Linked DNA regions of Drosophila melanogaster. The protein of the gene in region 1 interacts with the protein of each later gene in a pairwise test. Each region holds a gene or a part of one and is shown on either strand. Other genes may lie near its edges.

Evidence for each region.
Region 2: the proteins of CG14074 (region 1) and CG7737 interact in a two-hybrid assay, tested with the Drosophila melanogaster proteins (one large-scale study listed by BioGRID).
Region 3: the proteins of CG14074 (region 1) and CG31804 interact in a two-hybrid assay, tested with the Drosophila melanogaster proteins (one large-scale study listed by BioGRID).

What each region holds. Positions count from the first base shown.
Region 1 is NT_037436.4:18,857,549-18,867,931, forward strand, and holds CG14074 (uncharacterized protein), read left to right. Parts: upstream 1-8,676; 5' UTR 8,677-8,713; intron 8,714-8,771; 5' UTR 8,772-8,790; coding exon 8,791-9,801; 3' UTR 9,802-9,883; downstream 9,884-10,383. Other genes in the region: CG6865 (uncharacterized protein), read left to right, coding at 6,173-6,239, 6,708-7,046, 7,360-7,655, 7,718-7,873; Dysb (dysbindin), read left to right, coding at 10,332-10,383.
Region 2 is NT_033778.4:11,218,836-11,229,451, forward strand, and holds CG7737 (uncharacterized protein), read left to right. Parts: upstream 1-4,609; 5' UTR 4,610-4,763; coding exon 4,764-4,848; intron 4,849-5,734; coding exon 5,735-7,281; 3' UTR 7,282-7,911; downstream 7,912-10,616. Other genes in the region: CG9084 (uncharacterized protein), read right to left, coding at 248-332; Syx6 (syntaxin 6), read left to right, coding at 1,546-1,786, 2,093-2,794, 2,949-3,025; metro (menage a trois), read right to left, coding at 8,188-8,708, 8,828-9,121, 9,281-9,602, 9,674-9,841, 10,169-10,198, 10,576-10,616.
Region 3 is NT_033779.5:17,357,931-17,368,167, reverse strand, and holds CG31804 (uncharacterized protein), read right to left. Parts: upstream 4,673-10,237; 5' UTR 4,572-4,672; coding exon 3,933-4,571; 3' UTR 3,817-3,932; downstream 1-3,816.

The DNA.
Region 1 (10,383 bases):
CGCCATCCCCTCCGCCCATCGATGTGACACCTGACTTGCCGAACACACACTACTCAGCACATCTCCATATCCTTTTTACGTAACAATCCCGAAAACCGAAAAGGTTGAAAGTCGAAGTCAGCTAGCAAAAAGCCACAATGCCGCAGGACGTTGCGCATTCGGAAGGATTTTTCCTCATTTTTTTTTTTTACGTTTGTTTGCCTGATTTAATTGACGAGTACTCCCCAGGATGTGACAAATGCGGTGGTGGCGGAGATCCAAGGAATAACCTTAATAGAATTTCCATTTGTGTCCATTAGGCCTTGGTAAGGCATTCCTTGGCGGAAAAAATAAATTATGGCCATGCGAATTGATGGTTATTTAAGATGAATTAAATTAAGGCTGACTTAATTAATATAAAAGTCTGCATCGAAATGGGATGATGAATACATAGTTCCAATAAAAACTTAAATCTCTTTGACAGTAGTTCAGCACTTAACAAATTTGAAACTAGCTTAGAAACAACAAGGATATTGAATGAATCTTAGAGCTGTCAAGCTAACAATAACACAATATAACAATATAAAAACTATATTTAATTAGCCTCGTATTTGACACTGATGTGCATCAAAGCGATTCCTTTAATTTAGGGACGTTTTGAGCAAAGTCTTGAATAAGAGGCTAATTAAAGCTGTGCCTAATTAAAGTGTATATTCAACACTAATTTTAAAATTATAATGCATATTTGGACTTCATAACTTACCATATCCAGTAAATACTAATACTAAACCGAAATCCCTGAAAACAAAACACATACGCAAGGAAATTTTTCGCATATTATTTTTAACAACTCTGGTTAATCAAATCCATAACATATTTACATTTTGATTAGTAGTCATTTTTAACATTCATAATAATAGTTGAATTTAATTATATAAAACTAATAAAATCATTTAAAAATTGAATTACCGTCATAAAGCAAATATGCAATTTATAGCATTAATAGTCACCTAAAAATCATTCACATAACTTAACTAAAAAAATTACTTGAATTACAAATAATTGACTTTAGACTTTTTGTGATAAAAGTGCGTGTTTCGCAATTTGGTTTGTACTATTCACAATCTAATCATATTCTAACATCTAACAATAGGATCACACTGAATTCACCAAATTTTTGTAGTGTCCTTAGTTTTCTAAACTTGTTATTTAACAAAATCTATAACAATAGTCCAGCTGTATCTCATGTCCCAACTTTGGTTTCCTTTTGTTTACCTGATCACAATCTAATTAGCCAACAATGAATCTCGAACCGCAACTGTCGGAATTAAACTTGAACCAAAAGTTGGGAGAGCAGGAAGGTAAACAGGATTTTTCCGAGCAAATCAATTAGAGCATTTCCCCAAAAAAGTTGCAGGTTAAATTGTTGAAATGCCAGAGCTTGCCGGGATCCATCAAGGAATCCCTTCCAGCCTCTTGGCGCAACCATTACAAATGGCTGCGACTTGGCTGGCTGTCAGTTTGGGTTCAGTTCGTGTTGTGTGTTCTGTTGCGCTGTGACTTTTTAACCTAATGAATAATAAATTGGCCCAATTGTCACGCAAAAACAATGCCGCGGAATAGATGGATAAGGGTTTGCACTGCGACCTGACATCAGGAGGTCTGCGAAGTTTACTTCTCCAAATTTTAGACACATTTTCCATGCCTGCCTTTCCATTCCAATCCATTGCCGCCTGCCTTTTCTTTGCTGTTTATTTCCGCTGAAGTGTCGCCTTCGATAGATTTTGGCATTTGTTACGGAACTTGCATCCACCTGGGAAATCGGTGGCAGGCATCTAGCAATGATTAGCACTTGCTCTACCTTTTCCTTTCGGCTTAAGTGGCGCCCACTTGCATTCGTTTGGCCCTTTCGCTGCCTTCCCGGCCAAGTCGAAAAGTAATTAGCATATTGAAATGTTGCACAGGCCTCGCCTGCGGAACAATCTCATAAATAATTTAGCCAGCATATTTGATGCGCTTCGGTTGCAATGACTGCATTTCCCCAGTTCTTTGCGATTGCTGCAATGTTACATGTTGCCCGTGTGCTGGCTTCAATATTTAATTGCGAAAAATCTCCCAGCCGCGAAAGGGGCTATTCCTCGGCTACTTCATCCTTAGACCTCTTAAAAGCGTGTCAACAGCTTGTCAATCACAATTTCGCAAATAAAATGTAAGTGTCAGCTCATGGAAATTTAGTTTGCGAATGTGTTGATTGTGTTTTAGTTGTGGCTGTTTAGAAATAATTGGGGAGCGGTGGGGCTAAAAACAAACTGATGTGGGGTATTCTCTAAGGCATTGCGTGTTCCAAGTACAATTGCCATACAAAAGGTTCACGAAATCAAAATAGTTTCATCATACCTACACAATAATAAAATTCCAAAAGTATCTTAAGCTGAAGTGAAAGAAATAATTTTACATAAATCTTGATAAATTCAAAAGTTAGCATCCATCATAAAAAAACGCATGCAATTCACACCAATTAGAATACTAAAATTTCATTAGTTTCAAATTTAAAAATTTGATATGCATCAGTATATAGGAAAGAATAGCTATTCTATCCAACTGATATATGTATATATGCGAGAGTCACTAAAGTTATTACATCATAAACCAACGAATATAGTTACATTCCTAAAAAAGCAAATTTGAAATAAAATTGAAATACAAAAAAACATTTAACTTCGGATGCTTTTCAATTTATAGAATTATTTTACCCATACCAATCGTTTATATTTATTCTATCTATTTCCAACTGACTAACTAATTTTATGCGGAGAATAGTTAAACCTTTTAAGAACTTCCAAACTGAAACATACAATATCGGTCAAATGCCATTAAAAGAACTAAATGAAAACCATTTAAGCAATTAAAAACTGCTTAAATTAGCCAAGAATAAATTGAAACAATCTGTATCTCCATAAGCGAAACGAAATAAACTAAAAAGTAAAATTCAAAATTTGACATAATTTACGCCTGCGCAACAAGGAATAGTGTAGGTCCTCGGCAATAAAAAACCAATGCCAGGACTCTCATTGGTCGCCATCGAAAAGGCAGCCGAGCGAAAGCCGAGCTGCGGTCGTTTGCATAACACGCATACGCCGCATAGGCCCAAAGGATAAAAGCCGCCGACAACGAGGGATGTTGCTTCCTTGTTGGCTTCCGCTCGGTTCGCGAAGGCGCTGGCTGCGTTCGTGTTGCCTGGCAGCTAGTGCCAGGATCACAAGGATACAACGTCAGCGGCTGGACAAGCGTATTGCAGTTCCGGTGCGGCTCTCACACCGAGCAGACGTGTTGGCCTGCCTAGAATAAGAATAACATTCAAATGGTCAGTGCATTGTGATGCCCAAAATTGTGTTAAGCCATTGGCTAAGTTTGGCTGTTTTATATAAGAGTTCCTTCACGGACACTTATATAATTTTGATTGTTGCTCAGAAAGCCCTCATTGTTTACCAGTTGGCTTTCGAGCAATAATTGAAACCAGATAAGTGATCCCCTCAACGCTGACGATTTCAAAGCACTTCGTTTTGGTAAGTTAAGATTTATTTCATTAATTATGTTTAAAAAATATATAGAGATTTCAAATTTAATTACTTTAAATAAAAAGCATTGCTAATTATACATACGATTTTATAGATAAATTGAAATACTTATTATTAATATTTATATTTAAGTTCCAGCGATATAATTTTTTGAATTAAATAAATGTATACCTTTTTTCTGAATCTTTGTTAAGCAAGTTGAATCTTTGTAACAAAGACTTTTTTGTAGTGAAACTAGATAATTTGGTTAGCGAAAATAAAAGAACAAGTATAAATATTTATATATATACATAATTAATATGTAATATTTAGAAGCAATTTATATCCCATTAATTAAAGATATAAACTGATAAATTACTGAAATTGTGATCTATATGATTCTAGGCAGTTCAATTTCATAACTTAAGCATCCTTGTGTTTTATTTAGAAACCACTACTCACTCGAAATTCAATCGAAAACTATAAGCTATAATTATATATAGTTAAATTGCAATTTATACGATTGTAGATAGTTCCATTTTATAACGTAATGTTTTATTTAAAGCCTACTCACTACGAAAACTATAAACTATAATTACATACCTAGTTTAATTAAGTCACAATTAAGAAGATAATAAACAGTTAAATTTCATAACTGAAGCATCTATGCTAAATGTTTTTGTTTATAACCCACTACCACCCATTCGTGATTCCTATAAATACCTGCCAGTTAAATGGGTTCACTGCGCCCCAAAACATTTCCTATAGCGCCAAACACACCCGCATTAGCGACGTCCAAAGACTTCCCCCTTGCAATTAGTCACCTGAGAGCGGCGTCGTTGAACTTCGTCGAAATGAAAACAAAAGTGTAGCGAAATAGCTGAATAATATGACAATTGTCAAGCATAACTCAAGTACCTCAAATCGAAGCGACCTTCACATTGAATGCGCCCAAGTTTCGCCCAAAGGCGGGTGTCAATGCGCCTGAAACTTGTTTCAGTTGAGCTCCGCACTCGTGTTTGTTAATATTGTTTATATTTGGTTATTTGGTATCAACGCCAGTCAACGGCAGACAATGGATATATAGTGTTTTTTATGGGCGATTTGTTTAGTGAATTAGCATTTAGTGCGAAACAGAGCTGCCGCGATCAATGAACTCGATTGGGATGCTATCTGGTTTTCGGTTAAGGAACCAAAGTCATGAAATCAATTAGTAATTCTGGCATACTTGTCTGATCCACTGAACTGATTTGTGTGCTCCGACTGAGAATCGAGATTGTGGATAATGAATTATTAATGCCTTGGTCTGTAGATTTGTCATACTCCGTCTTAACTTTCAGTTTCAATTCCAATTCCTGCTTTGCCCACTTCAATACCCATCATTTTTGGCATGCTATTGCTTATAATACATATTATGTCATAGAAATGCACTTCCACCTGCATTTATCACTTTGATATGCGATGGATGGTGTATCAACCTTCCCATGTCGCCAATTGCATTGAGTGTGTGGGCCATGCGTTAGTTTTAAGGGCAATGTTAATGTCAAGCGGCTAATATTACATTGATTGCGCCGACATTGAATTTCAATTAATTTTTGGTCCCATCACAGTATTCATATGCAGCGCAGACATCCTAATTTGCATAACAGGCCCGATTACTAACTACCAGGTCTAAACTGATGGAAATATGACGTCTAAGGTTAGCTGCAATGTGCGAACTAATTGTGTCAAATGCAGGCAATGACATAACTGTAACGATTACGCAAATCCTAGAAACTTTTTTAACTTTCTTAAGATAGATTAGATAAATTAGATCTTGTAGGAACACAAAAATGCATTGTAAATCATAAGAACTGAAGAAATAAAAGATACTACATGCAAGCAAAAAGAAATTTAAAATCAAAAGAGTTGGTTTTGAATCATTTATAAAATTTTCTGTAGTTATGCAATAGCATTTCAGTTGATTAACAAGTCATAATAATATTTACACCCTTTTCTTTATTAACCATACAACAATTTCAATAACACCCTAAATACGTGCTAATCGCAATAATAATGTACTAAAATAAGGATAGAGGTGCAATAAACTCGTAGTGGTGGCATCGAAAATTCAGCATAAATATTGTCACACCTTTTGTCGCGCACTTTTCAATGTCATGAACTTCGCTGGGTCATAAAACGCAAAACACACAAAACTTTATTTCGGCCATTGTTTACTTTTGGGTTTGTTTTCGACTTTTCGGCAGCTCCTTAATTCACCCCCCCCCCCCTTGGAGCAATTGAAATGCCATAACGTGTGCACATGGCACCCATGCCCACAATACCAGCAAAAAAAAAAAAGGCGATGAGACAGGTAGTGCAGCGCAAAAAAAGCTCTCAGCTGAGGCAACAGGTGCCAAAGGCCCGGCTGCGACTTCCGTTTGTTATCAGGCCGAGAGAGCGAGCTTTCCGGCTAATCCGCATAGAACTCCGGACGACAGTGAAGTAAGTCAGTGGAACGGAGAGGCGCTGGACGCCCAGACACCTATATATAAATTAATTGCCGCACAGAATATTCGTGGCAGTTTCGTTTAAGCTTGAGCCGTGCTTAACGGGTTTTTTTTCGGGGCTAAGAACACTGGTTGTGCACACAGAAAATGTTGAAAATCGTATTCGTAGTCGCGGTTCTGTCGCTAGTGAAGTGTGCACAATCCCAAATTGCTTGTGAGTTGATTGAACAAATGTGACGAAAAGAGTAATAAGTCAAATATAATATGAAAAATAAAATAATTATAGTTCCTAAATTAGGATTCCTGGGAACTACCTTTTAACTTTTAACTTGTGTTTAATATTCCATTCATTTTTGCAGTCCTTAATATTTTAGGTTAGTTTATATCAATTAAGAAAGCATGATCTTTTAGCATTGTGGATTTATATGCTAAATTCACTGGATAAATCTAACATCTAATGTTCCAATTGCAACAGTTTATGCTTCCCTATTTGATAAGAACTCAACCTACAAATATTTCAAGATTCTATCAAAACTTGTATAATCATAAAACGTGCATAAGGAAAAGTTTACTAGATTATGAGAAATATAAATAAATGCGTTCTGCTTATATTAACTAATTATTTTCAACACTCCTTATCATGAACTCACGCAAATTGAAATTCCTCTGACTCCCATGACAGTTAGCAACCAGCCATGCTCGGTTCGAAATCCAAAAATCGTGGGAGGTAGTGAGGCGGAGCGCAACGAAATGCCCTACATGGTCAGTCTGATGCGTCGTGGTGGTCACTTTTGTGGCGGCACTATCATCTCGGAGCGATGGATCCTCACGGCGGGACATTGCATCTGCAATGGGCTGCAGCAGTTCATGAAACCAGCTCAAATCCAAGGAGTTGTGGGTTTGCATAGCATCAGGGAGTACCTCAACGGGATTGGCAACGGTCCGGATGCACTGAGGGTGGACTTCAAGAACATTGTGCCCCATCCGCAATACGACTGCAACGATGTGAAACACGATATAGGTATGTGTGTTTTTTAAGGGGTAATTGCAGGTTCAATTATTTTCCATATGTACAGAACTGAATCATAAATCAACAATATGACATTAACATGACATTATTTTTCAGTAAAATGAATAAAAAATTTTAATCTAGTAAAACACCATTAAAAATATGCGCTTAGGTTTTAAAAAAACAAACAGAAATACATAGGTAGGAAATAGTTTCAACAAAGGATATTAACATTAACCATAATGAATCAGAGACGAATCAAATAATACTTATTATTCTTAGTATTCCTTAAGCTATTGCAAATTGGTATTTTATTCTTTTACAGCCCTCCTGGAGCTGGTACAGCCAATCCGATTCTCTTCACACATCCAGCCCAGCTGCGTGGGATCCGAGGAGGGGCACCGAAGTCTGGAGCAGGAGTACGGAACAGTTTCCGGTTGGGGCTGGACGCACGAGAACCAAGCGGAAAACGATCGATCCGATGTACTGCGCAAGGCTACCGTTAAGATCTGGAACAACGAGGCGTGCGAGAGGTCCTACCGATCCTTGGGCAAGAGCAATACCATTGGAGAGACACAGTTGTGTGCCGGTTATGAAAACGGTCAAATCGACTCGTGTTGGGTGAGTATTCACTTGGCTGATACGGCACACATGTTATGCTCCGGGTTTACTTACCTTCACAGGCGGATTCTGGCGGTCCGCTGATGTCCAAGGAGCATCATCTGGTGGGCGTGGTGTCCACGGGGATCGGCTGTGCACGTCCAGGTTTGCCCGGAATCTACACGCGCGTCAGTAAATACGTGTCCTGGATGCAGAAAGTGATAGACGGCAGGAAATAGTTGGCCAGGAATCTGAAACATAAAGATTGTGATTCACCTGTGATATTAGTCGTACTCGATTATGTGATCTTCTTCAATAAACGTTACTTTAACCAACTAGAAATTCAATTTATTGCGGCCGGTCGTCATTTTTTAAACTTTAATCGATGATTGTGCCAATCGATATCGTTGGACTAATTTGTGGTATTTTGCAGAAAAGATTACTCTGACAATATTAATCGACAAGAATATCGCTAGTGTAGGAGGAACGGAGGAACGATGGAATTTTGAATAATTTATTCTTTCATTATTGAATTCAAAAAAATGCAATAACGTTTAAAAAAATATCTAACTACCTATGTACGACTTAAGTTCATAGGACTCAAGAAAGTATATGAAATATGCACTTGAAAACTTGGCTCCCCACGCTTACTGTCCCACCTGCTGCCCCGCCCGACCGACTGTCACCCGTGGCCCAACGAATGTCTTGACGTCTGCCCCGCCGTTTCCCTAAAGAAATGTCCTTAAAAGTGGTCACGCTCTACGAGTGGAGAAATTCCCGAAAATGTGGGAATAGTTAGTAAGATCTTTATTTTATTTTTTGCAATTCACCTCCAAATAACGAAAAGAAATAAATAAATAAAAAACGTCCCCATGTTTTGATTTCCACCGTTCCGTCATCGCCGCGAACTCATCGACGCTAATTTAACGCACATACAATAATCGCTTTATACTTAGTATTTTAAAAATACTTATAAGTAGCACTTACCGTCCGCGGTATTTTTTGTTTCGCAGCAATTGGTATTCAATTAAATGCCATAAACAAACACAAAAAATGGAAATGGACGCAGACCTAACAAAGTAAATATTTATATTACAATCCGATATATTTTTAATTAATTTGATGCTCTCACGTTAGTCAGGCGATTGCCGAGCTAATGCGCGAGATCGAAGGTGCAAATGCCAGTGTCAGCACCTCGAAACAAAGCGAACGCAAAGTGAATCCTCTGGGCAAACTAAACAAACGCTTCTTAGGCCGCACCATAAACACCGCGATTCGGCATAATGATAGAGAAAAGGAGCGCACACAGGCAAATTGCCGACAGAAGCTGCAGGATCTGGATGATGTGCACGAAAGGAGGAAGTCCAACTACTTTTACAGCCGCGATGCACCCAGAACTCAAAGTGTTGATAGAAGCAGAAGTTCCAGCAGAAGGCGCAGCAGGAGCCGCCACAAAAAGGCCAAGAAGCATCGCAGCCGAAGAAGAACTAGGAGCAGCAGAAGTTCAAGCCGCAGTCGAAGTCGCAGCAGTTCACATCGGCGAAAAAAGCGCAAAAAGAAGGTTAAAAAACACAAAAAATCACACAGAAGACGAAGAAGCAGCCAGAGCAGCAGCGGTTGCGATTGGGAATCCGCACCCAGCGAGTCGTTACGTATACCCCCGCCTTCAGATGTGTTCCTAAACCACTCCAAGCAAATGGCTCTTGCAGTGGCCATGGCCTATGGTCAATTACTAAACCCGAGCAGCCAAAAGAAAGCCAGCGAGTCTAAGGAACACTCCTCCTCTCCTATAAGCGATATATTCCGGGAACTTATGTCCGACGAAGAGGTGGACAAATCCGAGAAGCCCGAGGCCCTGTCCATTTCATCCAGCGACGAAGAGCCAAATGTTCTCACCATTAAAGTAAGCTCGAGCTCCGAGTCCAGCGGCAATAAATCAAGCTCGGACTCAGATTCAGAAGCAAAGAACAGCGTACGCAGCTGTATAACCCTAGAATCTGGTGATAATAGTGATATTGAGATAATTGAGTACCATGAAGAGCCCAAAAAAAAGGCATGTGAAACTGAACCTGCGTCTGAACCTGAATATCCGTCTCAATCGGATAGCACAAATCAACAAGTGGACGATAGCACAGCTGTCACTACAGTGGACCTGACCGAGGATTAATTAGGCTAAACTTTAGTTAGAGAATCGTTATGTAAGATCAGAATGAAATTTTAAAGGAAACAAACTGAAGTTGAACCAAACTAAGAATATTGTTTTTATATTATTATTACAGATATAAGCTCTGCCATAGATAGATTCATATTTGGTTGGTTTTTTTTTAAGTTATGTTTAATAGTAATATACTAAATATACCACCGAATGATACCCTGTTGTGTCTGTTTATAATATCAACTTTGGGTTCATTTTTTTATTTAAATTATAAAATAAAAATGCAAAATTTGAAATGTTAATAATACTTATTAGTTTTAGTAAGTAATAAAAACCACGTGCCAGAGCTCTTGCCATAGTTGATATGCCTCTCGTGTACGGCAACAAACTGTTGCTCTCTCTCTCTCTCTATGACCGATTTTCTCTCAGCACCTGCCCGAACAGCTGATTCTTTATTTACCACTCAATTTTCGATGGAAAACGCCAGCGCGAAGACAATTAGAAATCGCTAAGTTAAATAAATAGAGATCCGTTGTCGCAAGATGTTCGGGAACCTGAAAAAGAAGCTTAGCAGTGCGATCCAGGAGGGCCTGG
Region 2 (10,616 bases), on another chromosome or scaffold:
TGATCGCTGGGTTCGATCGTCCCAAACAAAGGCACTTGAGGAGTCGCAGACCATAACAAAACGCTGGCCGATAAGATATAGCCAACTTGTGGCCGCATTTTTGCGTCGAACTGTGTGACACACTCGCTCGCAACAATAATTAATCCGGTGCACTGCTTATCAGTTGGTAACAATTCGGTTACCCTTTTGCCAGGGTGATTCACTCGCTGTTTTTATTCGTTTTCTAAAGCCATATGCCCTAAATTACCTCTCGGTTCTGAGAGACTTGGCTGCTGGGCCACACGGATCTCACTGTCGTATTGCAAAGTGCGCACCGCGTTGTTTTGCAACATTTCGCCAGCACTTTTCAAACTTATTTGACGGCGGTCTAAATGAAATTGATAACGGTGGTCAGTGGGGCAGTAGCACAACGGAAGTTAAGTGCTTTGTGCCCCTCGCCTGGTCACACTTCCTGACTCAGATGATTTTAATACTCTATTACGAACGTTCTCATGTGAAATAGTAATAATAGCTTATTTATAGTGCTATTTTGTAAACTTTAATTCATGCGAATGTTGCAGGTTTTCAAAATATTCGTTTATGCTGCTCAAGCTGAATGTGGATAAATATATATTCAAATCCAGAGCTGCCACCTGATTCAAACTGTTTAGTAACGTATTTTCTGCACTTGCGATATATACTAAATTATCGCGGGATAAACGTGCTATCGCACTTGGGTCATACTAAGCCTTACGGTTTATTTTGCTAGCAGCAAAACAGAAATAAAACCTTTACTTAAATTTATTTATCAGAATTTGTCTCGTGTGAACTTGAAATTAAAGTCCGTCACCGTGTTCTCGGACCGAAGTTTGCTAAATGACGTGGAGACGAGCAGCAGGTGAGCGAGCGATGAAAATTGCAACAGTGCTGGCCATTTGGCCGACGATTTGTTGTTGTGGAATTTTTTGGCCAAAATTCGGGTTGTTTTCAAATCGGTTAGTCAAGGGGTTGGTAATCAAGGAACCAAAGTGCGCAGCCGCTGGAGCGGGAGCGGCGTAAACAAATGCCAGTGGGGTAGTGGTTCTCGGTGGGGGCTTAATCTCTGGAGCGCAAATAGCGACAGTGTTCTCTGGGCCATCGGTGGAACCAGCTAAGTCGGCGGAATCCACAAGAAATCGAGCGATAAGCGGCGGAGCGGGTCCAAGTGCAATAATCAATAAACGTGCTGTTCAAACATCGCTGCTAGGCGAAAGATAAAACCCAGTCGATTGTGAAATTCCTGCTATATAGAACGGATTGAAAGCAAAAATTTGCTCCCCATTTGCTTGCCTTTTGATGTAACTCCCACGAAGTGCTTTTGCTATTGCCAACTTGCAATTTGCCCCCTTGTACCTTTGGGGGGTGGTTTTCGCCCGGAAAAATCCATGAAAAGAACCGTCAAGTGCGCCACGCTGGTGAAAAACTGCTAGGAGTGTTAGTTTTCGTTTTGTGGCAAGAAGAGAACGCGGCATGTCTCTGGAGGATCCGTTTTTCGTGGTCAAGGAGTAGGTGTCCCCGATTTGGCAGATGGCCACATGCACTGCTGGTGGAAAGTGCTATCTTACTTATATCTCTGTTTTTTCTTTCATTTCCCTCCCCTTCCCCAACAGCGAGGTATTCAAAGCTCTGAACAAAACCCGCGGCCTCTATCTGCGTTGGCGGGAGCTGGGCGAGAACGGCGGAACGGAGGCTGAATGGACCACCACCGAGCTGCGTAACTCGCTACGGAGCATCGAGTGGGATCTCGAGGACCTCGAGGACACTATCAATATCCTTTTGCAAAGACCATTGAAAAATCAATTCGTTACCTGGTACTCATTTATCGAATTGCATTGTCTGTTTTATTTTCGCATAAAGAGGTTGAGATCCCATTTAAAATTGCTGAATATGCAATTTATTCGTGATTTAATTCGCTCGTTTATTAGTATTATACTAATAAACTGTACAGAACTTGTTTTTTTGGCACTATAATTGTAAAAAAAGAGTACTTGGTATCTTAAGGTCGGTAGAACCGACTTTCTAGCTCATCAGTCTCCTCGGTTTTCTCCTTAACCCATACCATTTTGACTCACACGCATCGTTGAGAAGAATCCAAGCAAGTTTCGGATCGACAACCGCGAACTCTCCAGCCGGCGCCACTTCATCGACAACACTCGCGATGAGGTCAAGCAGATGAAGGATAAGATGAGCCTGAACCGGAGCCGGGACAGAGACATCACCGCACACCAGCCGCTGCTCGACAACGATCGCCACAGCCCCAATCACAATCATTCCATTGCCATACCCAATTCGAATTCCAACTCCAACGAGTACCATCAGCATCCACACAACGATCGCACGTACCTCGTGGAGTGTCCCAACGGCAACTCGCTGATCAATAGCGGCAGTCAGGTGGCCAATACCATAGCTGGGACCATGTCGGCGGCAGCGGCAGCAGCATCCCGCCACAGCGGCACCAAGTACTCCAAGCTGGAGAACGCCCTGGACAGTCCCAGTCACTATGGGCAGACGCATCACGGCGGCATGGACAGTCCGAGTCATAGGTACGTGGGCGAAACAGTGTCCATACAGCAGCGTATGATCCAGGGACAGGATGAGCAGCTAGACATGATCAGCGATTCGATTGGTACCCTCAAGACGGTCTCGCGGCAAATTGGCGTTGAGCTCGATGAGCAGGCCGTCATGCTAGACGACTTTGGGAACGAGTTCGATACCACGGAGTCCAAGTTGGATACGACCATGAAGAAAGTTGCCAAAGTCTTGCACATGAATAATGGTGAGTGGTGCGGCACTTGTGGTATTCAAGGACTATTTTGATTGAAATATTAATGAAGAGTAAATGCTTCAGTGAACCACAATCAAAATTACCCATTGAATACTTTTGTGACTTCTGATTCCTAATTCTTAACTGTATCCATCTTCTTTCACAGATAAACGACAGTGGGCCGCCATTCTCATCCTATCCGGACTGTTATTGTTTGTGATAATTTTGTTTATTATTTTGTAATTGCTTTCGTTGTTCCCAAATCGTTTATATTTAGTGTAAATTAGATTTATTTATGACTTAGCTTGCTTTTGAATTCGGGCTCTTAATTACAATTCCATGTAAACTCCCTTGCTGTATATACACGGAAACATTTTAACCTGATTTATTACCAGCCGCCTCTCTCTATATATATATAATGTAATTCCAAAGCTACGGACAAATGATCATGTAAAGTCAATGTAGGCGGGTAATAAAAGATAACTAACTACTTACATATAAACCAAGTGCTCCAGAGTTCTGTCATTCCCAATTTGGCCAAAGGATACTGCAACTGTAAGCTGTATATACATCGAAGGATATATCTGCATATATATACATACAAACAAAATGGACCTACCAATATCAAACGAGTTATTTAACGAAGAGTCTTAGGAAATTTCACTAACCAAATCTAGCAAAAACTTGTATGCAATTGAGTAAATATATATACTTATAAATTAAATTCCTAATTTAAAGCCAAATGAGGTACTTCTTACGGGTCACCTAGAAATACTGTATGAGTGCACAGAGAGAAATTGTATACATATACAAAAATTTGTTCGCTATTTTGAAAGCCTAAATTAAACAAAAATTGGAAATACAAGCTTTCAAATTTTTTAATGTTTTTAAGGATAGTAGGATTAGTCAAGATGTTATCTTCTGATAGATCAATGATTTGGAAAATGGTATTTAATACCAAATTTTTCTCTGTGCACAAGGAGAGGGTATCAGGCCCCTTCTCATGTTCTCTCTGCGCCCCAAAACCACTCGACAGCCCACTCGATTTGCCCACTCACTCAGCTGTGTTGCATGCTTTTGCCCGGAGCTTTTTGGCGAGCTTACAGTCTGCGCACAGTGGCGCAACCAAAGGGGTATCTTCGAAAGGCTTGAAACATAACCCCTACGGGGAATCCGGACTACGCCACTGGGTCACAGCATAAGCACACGGGCAGAGCGGCACGTTTCCATGTGATGTTTTTCGGGTTTCGGCATTCAGTGTTGTTTGCCTTTTCCGCGGAGCTGGAGTTTTCCCAGCAGTTGGCATATAGTATATATATATATCTCCTGATATTCCGGTAGAAATGTTCAATTGTTGAATTACTTCGGCTAAGCGGCATTCAAAGTTATTTTGGTGAGTGACAGTGCGCAGTGAAGTGAACATACCCACCCATTATCACCCCCAAATATGCAGTAACCCAAAATTCGACTTCCTCTCGGATGTTTGTGGTTGGTTTTCCTATTGTGTGCAGTTTTTGTTGCCGCTGAAAACCTTGAGCATTTTGTTGGCCAAAAATATATAAAATCAATGTCAAACGGCGGAAGATGGGATACCGCTTCCATTTCTTTCCCCCCCCCCCCCCACTTACTGCTCTTCGTGGAAACACTCAGATTTCAGTTGACCGCCAGGTAAAACCAGCTGGTCCGGTTGGCTAGATACTCCTTCTGGGATTTTTCCTCCGCTTTCCCTTTGCTGCCGTGGCTATTAATAAATGCATGTGGCCAGAAGAAGCGAGTGAACATATTTCAGACTACATGTGTTCTTGGTGGCCGTGTGTTTTCCTTTGGACGCCAGTGTGTTGCTCGTGGTTTTCATTGCTGGGTGGGGGGAGCTTTTTCGAAACTCTTATCAAAAGTCGGATTCGCGGGCAGGGATTCGTTCGTTATCGAAACAGATGAGCGAACATGCCGTTACTTTTTAATCAAAAGACGTGTGTAGTTTATGTTGTACGGAAAGTGGACGGTAATAAAACTCAAGTGTCTGGAATTGCAATGCACCATTGCCATAAGCAAATTTCCAATGCACAGTAAGCAAAAATGGCAAAAAAAAACACAAAATTAATTCTGTTGGTGAAAATATCATGTTATATATCAGCAAATTACCCGCACAGACTGTTGTTTATGTATATTATACGATAAGTTTATTGCGAAATCAATTTACAATGCTATTTTTGAAAGTGAAAGGGAAATTGAAAAGCCATATCTGTGAAAGCAAAATGGGAATTTTGAAAAGCAAATTTCCTACAACCATAAGAATTTTTAAAAGGGCTTGTTTTATTCACTTTAACATTTGCAATGGATAGTAAAGCTAACGTATTCACGTTCTGAGATTTTAGGCATGACTGCGAATAAGTGATATTGTATTACAATTTACACAGTTTTAACGCCAAGCATTTGTAAGCTTACTGTTGCATAAAATTGAAAAAAAAATTTACAAATTTTTGAATAGCTTGCAATTTTGAAAAATGCATCCAAATATAATTTTCTAAATATTGTGTGATTAAAGGAAACCATAATGCTTACTGTTGCGTAAAATTAAAAACCAATTTTACAAATTTCTGAATAGATTGCTATTTCGAAAAATTCATCCAAATATAATTTTCTAAATATTGTGTGTTTAAAGGAAACCATAATTAAATAATGCTTACTGTTGCATAAAATTGAAAAACAATTTTACAAATTTTTAAATAGTTTGCAAGTTTGAAAAAATCATCCAAATATAATTTTCTAAATATTGTGGGTTGAAAAGGGAACCATACTTAATGTGCTTTTAAGTATACCAGATTTTTTTCAAGTGTACGCACAATTGCCCACAACCCACTTACTCACACTCTAGCACATTCGAACTTATGGTGTTTATTATTTAATTTGCTTTTCTCCTGTTGCTCTGCTACCCCTTTATTTCCAAACCAGATATTCAGTTACCCGGAATGAGTGGCGCACAGCGGAATCAGGATCGCAAGATCGTTGTCATCGGAGCAGGAGCCTCGGGTGTGGCCTGTGCCACCAAACTGCTGGAATTGGGCTTTCAGAATGTGCTCGTCGTGGAGGCGGAGGATCGTCTAGGTGGCCGCATACACACTATACCCTTTGCGGACAACGTCATTGATCTGGGTGCCCAATGGTGTCATGGGGAACGGGACAACATTGTGTACGAACTGACACGGAAACAGGATGAGGAGCTGCTGGAGTCGACGGGTCCGGTCTACGAAAACTATGAGTGCGTCCGCTCCAACGGAGATGTGGTACCGGAAGAGGTATCTAGTCGCCTGAAAGCCATCGTCGGGGATTCACTGGTCACCCGGCAACTGGAGCTGCGTCACTGCAGCGGTTCCTTGGGCAGCTATCTGACCAACAAGTTTTACGACACTCTCCGGCGTCCGGAAAACTCCGATATAGACGCAGAGGTGGCCAGTGAGTTCTTTGTCAACTATCAGAAATTCGAGAACTCCGTCGAGGCCTCGGATACGCTAGAACAAGTTTCGGGACGAGGTTACCTGGACTATTGGGAGTGCGAGGGCGATATCCTGCTAAACTGGAAGGACAAGGGCTATGTGGAGCTTCTACGGCTTCTCATGCGCTCCAGGGAGTTAAATGTGGAGCATGGAGTTCTGGAGCAGCGTCTCCTGCTTGGCACTCGTGTTGTGAAGATCAACTGGAATCGGAACGACGGACGCGTGGAACTTCAAATGAGCAATGGAGAGACCTGTATAGCTGACCATGTGGTGGTCACGGTTTCATTGGGAGTTCTCAAGGATCAGCACCTTCGGCTATTTGAGCCACAGCTTCCAGTAGAGAAACAACGTGCCATTGACGGTTTGGCCTTTGGAACGGTCAACAAAATCTTTGTGGAGTTTCCCGAGGCATTTTGGCCCGAGGATTGGACGGGTTTCACCATGCTCTGGCGGGACGAGGATTTGGATGACATACGCGGCACTTCTCGAGCATGGTTGGAGGATGTCTTTGGCTTCTACAGGGTGAGCTATCAGCCGAGAATCTTGGCGGGCTGGATAACCAATGAGAGCGGCAGGCACATGGAAACCCTTCCCGTTGATGAGGTCCAGGCTGGCGTTATGTACCTCTTCCGAAGATTCCTGAGGTGGAAAATCCCAGATCCCGCGAATTTCCGCACCTCTGCCTGGTATACGAATGACAATTTTCGTGGGTCCTACTCCTATCGATCCATGGACACGGAGCAGCTGGGAACGGGTGCACGGGAGTTATCCCATCCCCTGACCGTGGTGGCCACCACTCCGGAGAAGGACAAGGACTCGGAGGACGAGGCGTGGCAGCAGAGTCGCTGCGATAGACCCATTGTCCAGTTCGCCGGAGAAGCGTCCAGCGAGCACTACTACTCCACGGTTCACGGAGCAGTCGAGGCGGGATGGCGGGAGGCCAGACGACTGGCCCAGTTTTACGGAATAAGCGTGTCCCGTTCTGGAACCAAATCGCAACTCTAGCTGTAGGCTAGGATATCGTAGAACATGTATAGACGACAGCGATACCTGACCCAGTTATACGTGTGGATGTAGAATTCTGTCTTCGCACTACAAGATACAATCAAGAAAACTGATCAGTACATCCTGGATAGACTTCATATGCCTAAGCTAATAATTTACACATTTGCCATAGGTTAGCATAGGTGACAGATTATATTTACGAGTTTATATGTACGTGAGCATGTCAATATGTCAACAAGTGCGCTGCCCAATAAAGCTGTGTTTAAGTCTTCTCTAACCTAAATAAAGTTAATATATACATCATCAATTGCTAAGCTAATGAAAAACGCTTCCCTCTCAATCGCATTTAAAATAGTTTTTTTTTTTTATTAGTTTCTCACTTGTTTTCAACAATTTGTCACTACGTTTTTGGTGAAATCAGTTTTCGAAATGAGACATGTCGTCACACAGAACTTCACATTGTATCCAATATGCTTCAGTTAGTGAGTGTATATACAACTGAGATACAATACGATTAGCTTTAGGTTTTACGGGGGGATTAACTCTGTACTTTGATTTCAACAACGTGTAATACATACATTTATAATTAAGTCATTCTTTGAACACAAATAAATTTTGTACAACAAGTTTATATAATTTAATTGTAAGTTAGATGCTGGTTGAGTTCAAATTTCCTTCACTTTCTGTCAATAATTATTGTATTCATTACATTGTTTTCACTGTTACGCAAAAAGGTACATGTCGTGAAAAGGACTAAGGCCGGACGGGAGTGCCCAGCAGGACCGCCTACGGGTAAATAGTGTCTCTTCTCCGTTTCTCTAGCAGATTGCTAAATTCGTATGGCAAAAATACTTTGGTGTTCATCAACAAACTGCATGAAATGCTTGTCCACATTTGGCAACCGATCTACTGCACCCACATGGATGGTGCCCATACCGGTTCGTTCTCCAGTCGCTGGACATTCTGGACCAGCTGCTCGAAAGCATTGACCAGTTCGCCGTTGACCAGCTCTACGTCGAAGAAGTGTCCGTATAGGAAATCTATGCGTTCGGCCGACTTGATCATGTCCTCGAACTCTTCGTCCGTAAAACTTCTGGCATTCGCCTCGTCGAATGTGGATTTGGCACGCGCCTCCGTTCGCGTAGCCTTCAGGATGTCCAACTCTGGTGGCTTCACATGGATGAGGAAGGGCTTCAGCTGAGCTGTGCGCAGAGTCTTGATCGCCTGGTAGTGCGGACTCAGCACACATACGCAGCCGGCATTCACAATCGACTTGACACTCTCCGCCGATGTTCCGTACAAATGGCCCTTGTACTCGCCGTGCTCCACAAACTTTCCCGCCTCGATGTCCGCGTCCATTTTCTCGCGGGCCACAAAGATGTACTCTCGTCCGGCCACTTCACCTGTGCGCATTGGTCGGGTGGTGTCTGAAAAAAACGAATAGGTTTTCTATTAAAGATGTTCGAAAAGAGGTCCATTTGTTCACTTGGTCATTTCTACACTAGTTCATTTGTTCACTTAATAAAACAAACTTAAGAAAACTTACACGGAACCGGACTGCGGAACTTCTCGGGATCCCGGGCTATCAGCCGGCGGCGCAATTCATTCCGCCCCACGCCGGGTGCTCCGATGAGCACTATGGGCCTGAAGACTCCGGGCCGTGGATACAACTTGGCCACCTCCTCGTACGTGGCGATCTGCTCGCGGTCAAAGTCGTCGTTCTCTGTCAAATCGTACATGATCTTTTTAGTCTTGGGCTGGCGGCAGGAGGAGGTGCTGCTACTCGCAGGCAGACGCGGGGAGCCAGGTGGGGTGGTGCATAGTGAGGCGCATGATCCGGCTGGCGATGGCAATGCATGGATGGGACCATTTGGAGTTGGGTCGAGTGTTAGATGAGGGGGGCACAGATGAAGAATGAAATTAGAGCAATTTTAGTCATGGAAAGACAATGAACAGCGAATGTTATGGAAGCAATGGGCTGGCAACGCGATATGCTTACGCTTCGAGTCCAGATCGGTGCCGTTCTTCTGTGTACGGTCGTGGAGGATACGGCGCTCCTGCAGCGCCCGGCTGGGAATCAAACCGGCTCTTGCCGAGCGCTCGTGCTCCTTGCGCGCCTGCCACCAGTAGGCATCGTCTTGGGCCACAATGTGCAACACATCGCCGCGCTGGAAGGCCAGACCCGCCTCCTTGCACGGAATGTAGGGATCCACATCCGGATTGTAGTCAAAGTGGGCCCTCACCCGCACTTTGGACTCGCGCTGGGCGCCCTTGTTGTCCGCGGGAACCAGCTTAAAGGTAATGGTGCCCTCCGAGTTTTGCTGGTTGTTTATAAAAGGTATGAAAATTACATCAAGAATGAGGTTTCTCGATCAATTCTAAGCATACTTACCAGTATGGTGAGCACATCGCCCGGCGTCTTGCCCTCCACGTTGATGTTGTTGACCTCGATGACCTCGTCGCCGACGTGAATCAATCCGGAGCGATCTGCAGCGCCGCCGTGCATAATTCTGGCGATGATTATCTTGCCCGACTCCTCGTCCGTTTTAATGGTGGCGCCCTAAAAGTAGGCAATTCGTGTTACTAGAAAGCCAACGCAAGGCGCGTATGTGTGCGTGTGGAGAGAGTGTGTGTGTGTGTGCGATTGTGTATCTGTGTGGAGTGCGGCTTCCGATGTTCTAGATGTGAGTGTATCTAATGGATGCGTCACAGCGACAAGAACAACGGAATGGGAACAAAGGATGGTAATGGTATCTTATGTGACATGTATCTTGGTGTGTGCACAGCTTCCTGGCTGTTGTTTGTTGTCTTCAGTGCTTGGCGAATGGGTTTTCTGTTTTATTTCTTACAGTGGACATTTTACGGCTATGGACATTCGATTACTTACAACAATTGGCTCCGTACTCTGTGCTCCTGTCTGTGTTTTTTTTTTTATACATTTTTGGATTTTTACATTTTTTTGTTTTTGTTAACGAATGCATATTTGTTTGGTATGGGCGAATTCGAGAAATTGATTCGATTTCATTCGATTTTAACAAAGGCAAAGTTGACAAAATTGATTAGCATTGAAAAGAGTTGACATGGAGGCGATAACAACAGTAGAACGAGTATGAATGGAGGCGCAGAAAGGAGCAGTTGGCAAAGGCGAAGGGTAGGCGGTGAAAGTCGGGGCGGGGTACGGAAATGAAAGTCGAAAGTGGACGGTGGAAAGCGATGGACAGCACAATACAGCGATCACGTCGATGAGATGGGCATGGAAATGGAAAGCGCTGGTGCCACTGGACGAACACTCACCAGGGGCTCGTTGCTCTTGACGAGCTGCACAATCTTGATGG
Region 3 (10,237 bases), on another chromosome or scaffold:
ATCGGAACTCTAGGATATTCCGCTCATATCTGGATGAGTTGGCAAAATGGGTTTCCTAATGGCCGCCATATACACACTTACATAAAATACATGCCAAATGTATGATTTGTTAATACTTATATCTCACTCATTTTTCTAGGTTCGTAGTTCATTTATGTAAATACACAACAACACTCACAAGGAACACTTAAAGAAACCAAAATACATAGATCACAAAACAATCGAACATATATCGAATCAAATCACACAAGTCACAAGTTATTTATGCGAGTTTTTGTTTTGTGCAATTGTTTAGATTTAATTATGTATGTGCTACAATCGTCAGCTAGTTTTTTGTTAAACTTTTCCCATCACACCCATACGAGCGAAATATCGGGCCAAAATTACGACTAGCGATTAGTTGCATATTGAATACTGTTTTAAGTATGAATCACATATGAACATCCAAATATTTAGATATTTATCGAATTATTATTATGGCATATTTATTATGTAGCTTAGATGTAGATCTACGATTAACTGTGGTAAACATTTTCTACCGGCGCTGCATCATTTCTACGATACGAATCGAATTGTACTAGACCCCTAAGTCTTGGAATATACAAATACTATATAAACATATATCAAATAAAGCGGAGGAAAATTGTCATACGTAAGAACTATTTTCTTTTAATCTGGGGAAATATTTTTGCTTGCCTGCTCACCGAAAATTGGCAGCAAATGTCAACAGCTGGGGCCCAACAAAAAAATGGCGTAAAAATCCTGAAAGTTTTCTTTTGTAGTTTCATAATTTGCATAATGCGCCAAACAAACAATTGACTTTTTGGGGGTTGGGAGCTATAAGCGGAACCAAAACCGCTCAAGCGAAAATTAAAAACACTCGACACATCCGCCAGTTTTGTTTAGCAGCTGCTCCAATGGCAGTCATTTTGGTAAGTGAAATGTTGGCAAAGTTAACTGCAGAACTATGGATGAAAAAAACGTTCTCCGATAAAGTAGTTTTTAAATAATGGTAACACTTTTGTATGCAAGCATTTTATTTTTTTAAATTATTTAGTAATGGTTGAGTGCGATAGCTTAATGCTTGTGTGTATGTAGTTATGTATCTGAAGTTTTCAGATGTTTGTGTCTCATCAATTAGTCAGGACATAACCTAAGTAGCACCTATTACTAATTTACGCCTACGGCAAGGAGCAAGGGCACAGGACAAATAAAAGGACGTGGGCAAGAGAAAGTGGGGAAGTCGAGTCATTTATCACTGTGAAATTTATTAAAATGATTATCTCGTATCTACATTTCGCACGGAATGCCTAATTTTTTCCATGACAAAACAACACGCGCCTTCTTCCGAACTTCAGTTGGTTCAGGACTTTTTTTGTGGTTTCCTATTAGGGGCACTCCGGCAGTTTTTGCCATTTTGAGCCACTGATAAGGCAAAGGAACAAAGCGGCCCAAAAGTGTGGCGGTGCACTTAGAAAAAACTTTATCTATTTTAGGCCTAAAATGTCAATCAATAGCTTCAATAACAAAATCAATTAACAACCATTGTTTTTTCTGGTGTTTTAATTCTTTTAATTTATTGCTCTTTTCATTGATTTTAAACATTAATTTATGATAATATGGCAATACATGTGGCTCTTAATATGAACATATTAATATGCGAATATGTAAAATAACTTTCGTTTTATAACCAGAACTAAAGTAATTATTTTTCAAAAATTCTTTCAGTGCTATGGGCGGAATTTTTGGTGTCCCTCGGCTGGGGCCATAGTTTAATTGTGACATCTGAACAACTCCACAACCCCTCCGCTGGAATAACGCCTCAGGAGAGGGCAATTAGTTGAACTGCGCCCTGGGGAATTGAGATAATTAAAATGACTTCCACTGCTGCTGCTACATGCGGAAATATTTTTTAGCCAACTAATCTGATTGCTCCTATATCAACTCTGTCAGCTGAGTGTATTCTTGTGCGTTTGCTCACAGCCCTTTTGAGAAACGAAACAGAATCAACATTTGCATTCAATTCGATGGCAAAAAGCACTTTAATATATTTACCCCCATTGAAAGTCATTTCGTTCTAATCCTATTAATTCAAATTCAAACACTTTTACCACCGCATCAAATAGAATTGCTTTTCGAAAGACCAAGACGAGGGGTAGAAATGTTTGGCTGTTCTTTTTGTGGGCGAAAAAAATTGCATTTCATTGTTTTTAGCAATCAGAAAATATTTTACCTTGGCCAAGGGATAGCTTTTCGACTATTGTGTTCCGAAAAACGATTTCCTTTTGACCAGGAATTCAGTAGCACCACGAATTGAACTTGGATTCAATCAAAAGTAAACTAGAAAACGCAATCACGACGACAGCTTTTGCCAAATGACAATTTAGAGTGTTTGATGTGGATTTGTACTCATTCGATTCGAAATGATTTTTGGAAATTAGGTTGAAGAAAACAAACCAAAGAAATTTGATTGTTCCTATCCACAAAATATACTTTTAATTATTAATTTAGTTGCCAGAAAATATTACAATGAAACACTGAAAATCCAAGCCAGATGAGTATGTAAGCTATGTAAATATAGCTCCTACATTGATTTACACTTAATACACTTTTGAAATGTATATTCAGCTATAATTTAATTATTCGAAATCATTGCAAAGTTTAATCCTTTAATTTTATTCATACCAAGAGTATATAACAATTTTAATTTGTTTGTGGCCTAATAGCCGCCGAATTTTCACTTGACTATGCCCTATTTAAATGCATTCCAAACCACTCCATCCCCACCAGGCATTATAATGAAGATGAATTTTTGTAGATTGTGTATTTATCCGGTTCGTGTAGCAATTTCATGCTAAAATTTGTTTGGCCAAAGTTCCAACTCAGTTGATTTTCTGGCTTTCATTACGCCTTGGGCCAGAGTGTAGGCAAAATTTAAATAATACAAAAAATAATATATATAATATATATATAGGTTTGTGTGTAAGAGGGGGTCTTTAAAATGCCTTTTTTGGGGGATACGCAGACCCCATTAAATATGCAGCAGACGATCCTAAAACACGTATCATCCTCTGATGCCGGCGCAGTTTCGCACTTTCGTTGCGCTAAATGAGTTTCAGCTGCAAAATTAAAAACTTTATCAGAAGCAGCAGGCAGAGGTGTGAGTGTGTGTATGTGTGTGTGTGGCAAAAAAACTTGAAACTTTTTCATGAAGTTAAAGCAAAGTAAAATCAAATTATTGTGGTTGCTCGCAGGCTGGCAAAAGGATTACGCGATGGTGGATCTCTGCCTTACCGCTCTTCTACAACCAGCACCACCCACTCCGCCCCACTTTCCACACCACTTTCCACCCCATTTTCCACCCACTGCGGCACCCACCTGTAATAAAACATGCCGCCACTGCATTTTGGGAAGGCTGCCAGACAGAGGGACGCCGTCTCCATAGCCAGACAGTTAGACTCGCCTGGCTGCCTGTTCACATGAAGTTGGCGCATTCTAATTGAATTTTCACTTTTTTTCCCGACCGCTCTCACCAACCGCCCTCCAAGCACCCACCTGTGCGACTACGTGACGATGGCCTGGCACAGAAATTGAAATAATTATTTTTAATCTTAAGTACGACTTGCGCGTAATGAGATTTGGATTATCCCGGCGCCCTTTTTTCCAACTCCCCTAGACAAGTCTCTACGAAAAAGAAACTGTTTGCTGTGAGACGCATAAAAAGTATCTGTGTGTTTGGGGATGACACAAAAGATGCGAAATTCTCTTCCTAGTGTGTAGCAACTATTTTGGCTGACTCAAGAATATAATTGTGTTACTTTGTAGGGAAAAGCTATATATTTGCTATAAACTTATTAGGACAACCAAATTTAGAGATACGACTTCTACGGGCTTATCATTCATTTTGTGACATATCAAAGTCTTAATTTTCCTTATGAATATCTTTTACGTCTTGCCATAAGGACAGCCGAAGGACGTCTGCCACAATTTCTGCATCGTGATCGGCAATCCCTGCAAAGACCAAAGAAATCCCTGGGTGGGAGATCCTGCATAGTCTGCAATCGACGGGTATTTCTTTTTACTGAACCATGTAAGGATTTAGAATCCAACGAACATTCTCTATCACTGTCATCATATTTCCCTTCAAGGATATCCAGTAATTTTAAGGCAGTTCGCAGACGACATTGTGCTTCCTTTTTGATAGTTATGGTTCGGAATTTGCCATCCTGCTTTCGGGAAACTCCCGCCTGCGGGAACTTGTCAAATTTTTTTTCCGGAATATTTCTTTTTTTAAAACTCTGTGATAACCTTTGCTTCTGTGGTTTCGCGGCAGTTTTAGAAGTTCTTTTCAGGTCTTGACTAGCTTTCGACATTTTCCGTTTAATATTCTTTGACGTTTTTCTAGATCCTAGTCCTTGGTGGATATGTATCTTCTTTTTGGTGGATGCACTTTGCCTGGTAGCTACATCCATAGCCGAATCCACTGTGTCCGTTTCGTTCTGTCTAAAATCGATAAAATGTTTCGATTGAAGGAAGTACTGTCCATCGTTCGAACTATTTTTTTCTGCCATAATCAAGAGAATTTGCCTTTTTCGCCCTTTTGAAAATCTTACTACACTTCAGATTTTGATTGTGTATGGAATAAATCAGGGACACTGAAGAGTGAAACTTGATTTCTTTTTGATTTTCTTGACTTGGCCTACGTTGGTGCATAAATTGCCAGCAGGCAGGAAAAGTTTGGCCACCCACAACCCTCGCAAATATTGCATTTTCATTAAGTTAAAGTTTGGTTTTTAGTTTAATTTTTTCGTACCCTCTACGCCTTTCCTCCCTCCGTTTACTTAAAAACTTTTTGCGGCAAGTTTTTTGGCCCAAAGTTTGCATGTGTTTATCTGTCAGTGTGTGGGTATAAACGGTATATGTATGTGTATATGTGTATGTGGGTGAAAGAGTGTGTATGAGCGCGTGTAATAATCATGTGCGCAGTCAAAGCAAAATGACGATAGCATTGATGCTCCGCCTAAAAACTTTTGACGGGCCAAGTTGCTTTGGGCCAAGTTTCAAGCTGCCAACTACAGCATCGCCTATATATACCTATATACCAATTTCCTCGAAATATCTGTCTGCCAATAAGAAGCTTATTTAGTTAGTAAGGCTGATTAGGAAGAGTGTTTAGGACGAAATTAACTTAAAAGCAGTTGAGAAAGTATATTTTTTGTTAATTTATCCGATTAATCAATGAGCATCAATATTCAGGGATGTGTTCCTATGACATATGTATATGAAGCTATATAATATATATTATATAGACAAATTTAAGACACAAACATAAATGATTTTTGTTGTATTAGTTAGTTGTAAGTGCTCTATAATCCATCATGAGCCCTTTAAATTGTTTTCAATAACTAAAGTATTTGATTCTTAAGATTTTTTTTAATTTCCAATCTAAAATCAGTTTTCCATTTCGCAGTCAATTTTCAGCTTCAGTCGGTTTCTTTAATTATCAATGGAAAATATCTAAAATTTCTGTTTTCGCACTCGTTCGCTTGCAAAACTTCGACGTTTCATAACAATAGTGAAATGCGACGGACAAGAAATTTTAATAAACTCAAAGTCGAACTGAAAACCATTTTTACACTTGGCCGATCGTTTACAATAACTAAAAATTGAACAATTCTTTCTATCACCGCACTTTTCACAGTTTATGTCAAAATGAAATGAATAAAATATTGGCTGGCCACCCGGCGACACTCAGAAAAGGGGGATTGCCATCATCCTTTTTTTAATAAACTTCGCCCAGTTTATAAAAAATTTTTGAATATCAATGTGCGAGGCGAATATTGTCTATTAAAAGAAATGGATTTTTTTGGTGTATAATAATGGTAGGTCCATTGCAGATTCCGCTTAAATATTCTTTAGTGTTTTTTCAGCTTTGATTTTTTCTGGTTTTGCTGCAGTGGGGCGACTGCATATTGTGGGTTATGAAAAATAAATTAAATGCTAAAGATATAGTTTTCGTAGGGTCATTATATCCCTTACTCAAAGATTCGTTGAAAAGTATGTAACAGGCAAAAGGAATCGTTTCCGATTTTTTAAAGTACATATATATGTATATATACATAATATATGTATATGTATAATTGTATATATATATATATATATATATATATATGTTATATATATATATATATATATATATTTTATATATATATATATAAAAGGTATTCTTGATCAATATCAATAGCCGAGTCGATCTAGTCAAAAAAACTTTTGGCCACACCCACTCTAACTCCCTAAAACCGCCCAAAACTAACTAATTTTCTGTCGATTTGCAGAAAACATTTTGCCACCACCACGCATTCTCACTAGCTGAGTAACGGGTATCTGGTAGTCGGGGAACTTGACTATAGAATTCTCTTTTGATTTATATTCAATTGCTAAAGTGTTGAACTATGAAGCATTACAATAATAGAGAAGTTGAACTAAAGCTAAGCTTTTAAATTTATTTTTAACTTGAATAGGATGGGCAATCTTAATTAACCTGCATTTGTACTGAAACTTTACGCTATTTAAATTTGTTTAATAACGCCAGCTGTATATTATTACTTTAAAGGTGTACAAATATGAGTTATATTGTGAATAAGTGTGTGTACTTTGCACTAGAGCATACATATATGTAGTTCAAATGCACCTCATCTATCCTTGTTCACCTTTAGTTCTTGCCCCATTTTTATTGCTTTTGTGTACTCCAGATGTGAGCTCCAACTTGTTGACCCAAATATTGGCACAGGTCCTTGAGCACTCAACAACTTGTTGGGTCATCGTCATCTCTTCTGCCCAATGAGCAAATCATTTTCACTGGGCAATGGGCACGGAACTGGCAACCGGGCAGCTGCACTCTACTTGTGCTAAGCACATCATTATGTTGGCTCAACTTTCCGATCATTTTTAATTACCCACCCAAGCCCTCTTTTCGATTTTCTCGCCAGGTCCAGCTTGCAGCACCCTTATTTTTTGTTCGCCATTAATTTCTTTAATGGAACGCTGCATTAATAAAAAATACGTTATGAGCGCATAATAGAAATAAAAGCTAATGTAATTACATGCCGCACTTGTTTCGCCTTGTTGCAGTGCAAAACGACGAGAATTTCCCACTCCCAGTCTGCAAACGAAAATCCTAAAAATTTAATTCCAACAGTTAGAGCCAGTTGAGCGATAAAAGGTGAAAAGAAGCGGGTATATGGGCATTATAAAAAGCCGTAGAGAAGTATTAGTAATGTACATATAGCGAGAAAATAAAAATTAGGGGGCACTTACTTACTATTACGCTTAATGTAGTGAACTGAACTAAAAACAAAGACGCTTAAATTACAATGCATATAAGTACGTGTAAGCTTCTTATGGTTAAAAGCTCTTTTTTTTTTTGCTTATTACGATTGTACTATTAGTCAATTAACGTATTTTATTAAACAAATTAAAACGATTCTTCCCACCTTCTTAAACTCGTTACAAACCAATTCAAGGGTATAGGAAACTTTGAGTTTCGCCCACTAGTTTTTCCTATTTTTCCTCTATTTATTTTTGTATTTTTTTGCCATGTTGTTGTTGACTGCTGTTGGGTGCTTAAAAGCTTTGCATTAACTATTAAACGCAACTTGAATCGCATAACGCCACTTGGCACACAAAGAGGGTGAATTCAGAGGGTGACGGGTTAAAAAAGAAATACAAATTCGTGTCAGAAAAAGTGGCCGCAGGTCTAAAACAATAGAAGCCAAATTATGGCTAAAAGCGGAAAAACTGCCACACGAATCGTTACGCGAGTTGTGCCTATAAATTTGGAGTCTGCCGAAGCCAGGTGAGCAAATATACATTTCAAATAAATGCTTAGGTGCACACAAAAAGCGTGTGGCAATTCGGATAATGGATTTAAATACAATGTGTTAGGATCTGGCTACTTAAGTTTGATATAAACTTTTAAAGATTATTTTTCAATCAGTAAAATATCACAAATATTTAAGTTTAATTTAGTATAACACTTATTTGCGGGATTTAAGTAAGCTGTTCAAATACAAAGCGGGGTCTTACATTAAATGCTTTGCTATTTCTCGGATTTCTTAACTTAACTATGAACATGTCATCGAATTTTACTATACAAGTGATTAATTTTATTTTTAGTTAAGTGTACCGAAACTGCAGGTTTTACGCTAAATAAACTTTTATTTATTTTACTGCCTGACCCGCCTGGTCTTTCGCCTCTTTTTTTTTGCTCTTTCAGCAGCACGCGAGGGGTGCTAAAAAATTCATAGAGCACGGCTGGCGATACTGGCCAAAAAGAAGGGGGGATCGGGTGTTGTGTTGTGTAGCTGAAAATTCCTGGGCCAAAGGAGTCGAGAGTTTGAAGCTGTTAGTCTGACAGGTTGCAATGCTATAAAATGCAATCAGCTGCAAAGAAAATAGGTTTTGCTTCACCAAACAGACAAACTGAGGAAGGTTTTGAGGGGAAAGAGGAAAAAAACTGGTGGAAAACAGTAGAGTGCATCCACAGGAGCTGTTTCTACTGCTGCTGGATGGCATAAATTAAAGCGCAACAAGAGCAAACAGACTCAGGGCATATTTGCCAGCACGCACACACATACACATACACACTGCAGTTGGGTATGAGTGGGGGAAAATGTTCATGGAGTTTCCCGAATGGATGCGAAAAGCGGAGTATCATCAGGTATATATAGACAAACAGATTGTGGGCTGACTGCGGACATTCAATGGAATTGCCACAGGAGAAGACAAGACACGATGATAATGCTTCAAAGCGCTGACAACTTTCCGCTAAACAATCCTCTCCATTTTACTTGGTACATTTTCATTTTGCTTCTACGCCTGGGGCACGGCTACGTTTAATTGCCGCCTGTCGCTCAGCTAGACAATTGCAAATTGCCTAAGCGAAGCGGTTGCGAGTCAGTTAAAATAAAACCACATAATTACATATTCAACAGAAATTGTTAGCCTATTTTGGATAAAATCAATTAGGTCATACATAACCTTTGGCGTACCAGTTTGACGTGCTACTAAACAAATAGTTATCCGAATGGTTTACCATCAGCACACTGAACGGATAAATGTAAACAAGTGGCGCCCAACGTGGAGCGTTTTTGGCTTATAAGTAATAGGTTGGAAAAAGAGTTGTCAACCCTATGACGCAAAAATATATGCTAGACGATCTGGTCATACTGGTATTCTTTCTATTTTTGAAATTTACTTTTTAGCTTACTATTTAAAAAAAATCTGAGAAGTTAAAGTTAAGTTTGTTGCATTTTATCCCCACTTATTTTATGAATTTCTTTCGGAATTTAATATTTCTTAGCTATGCTTGCTACACCCTTTAACTCAATCAATCAATAAAGTAATTTATTAGAAGCTGCGCTTAACTAAAAACCAAACTGCTTTCCAAAAACCCACGACAGCTATTCAATTTCAGCTCCGTCAGTGGCTTTGATGGACCAAAAATTGAGGAGGAAGTTAGTAAGCCAAAACCCCAGCCACGCCCACACTCCTCCACGCCGCCGAATTACAACGCCCACGTCGCCCCTCGAAAATTCCGTTGCAATGTGAATTTGAATTGCAATTGCGAATGGCCGCGTGCTGGAAATTAAATAAAACACTCGCAACGAAAGGCTGTTAGGATAGGAGCATCCGCAGATACAAACTTTGTCATAGGGAAAAGTTTTGCGCTGCACACTGAACCAAAATGAAAACGTAGCCGAGCGTGATGAACCATGGCAGGATGCAAAAGGGGTGGAATCTCTGCAACGAGAGGAGCAAAACCAGGATGTCCTGACATCTGCACCCAGAACAATCAACCAACAAAAAAAAATAAATAAATAACCTGATATAAACTGGGGCCCTCGCTCTGATGCTGGATCAAGCTCAATTTAATTGCGTCTGACCAAAAGTAATCTACGGCAAAATGTAAACAGCGATCCATCGCTTCAAGCACGATAAATCATATGGCTCACTCATTTGTGCACTGCACTCTCATATTTGATTTATCCCATGGCCAAAAACCATCACCAACTGTCGAATCAATTGCATTTTTCGGTTAGCAGCTGTATGCGATTTTTGATGGAACACCGTAGAGCAACCACTTAGACCTGTTATTAGCCATCATAATTCTTGTGTAGACAACGAGCAGCTGCCACTTTTGGGTCCTCGAAACGGACGGACAGCACATCTATCAATT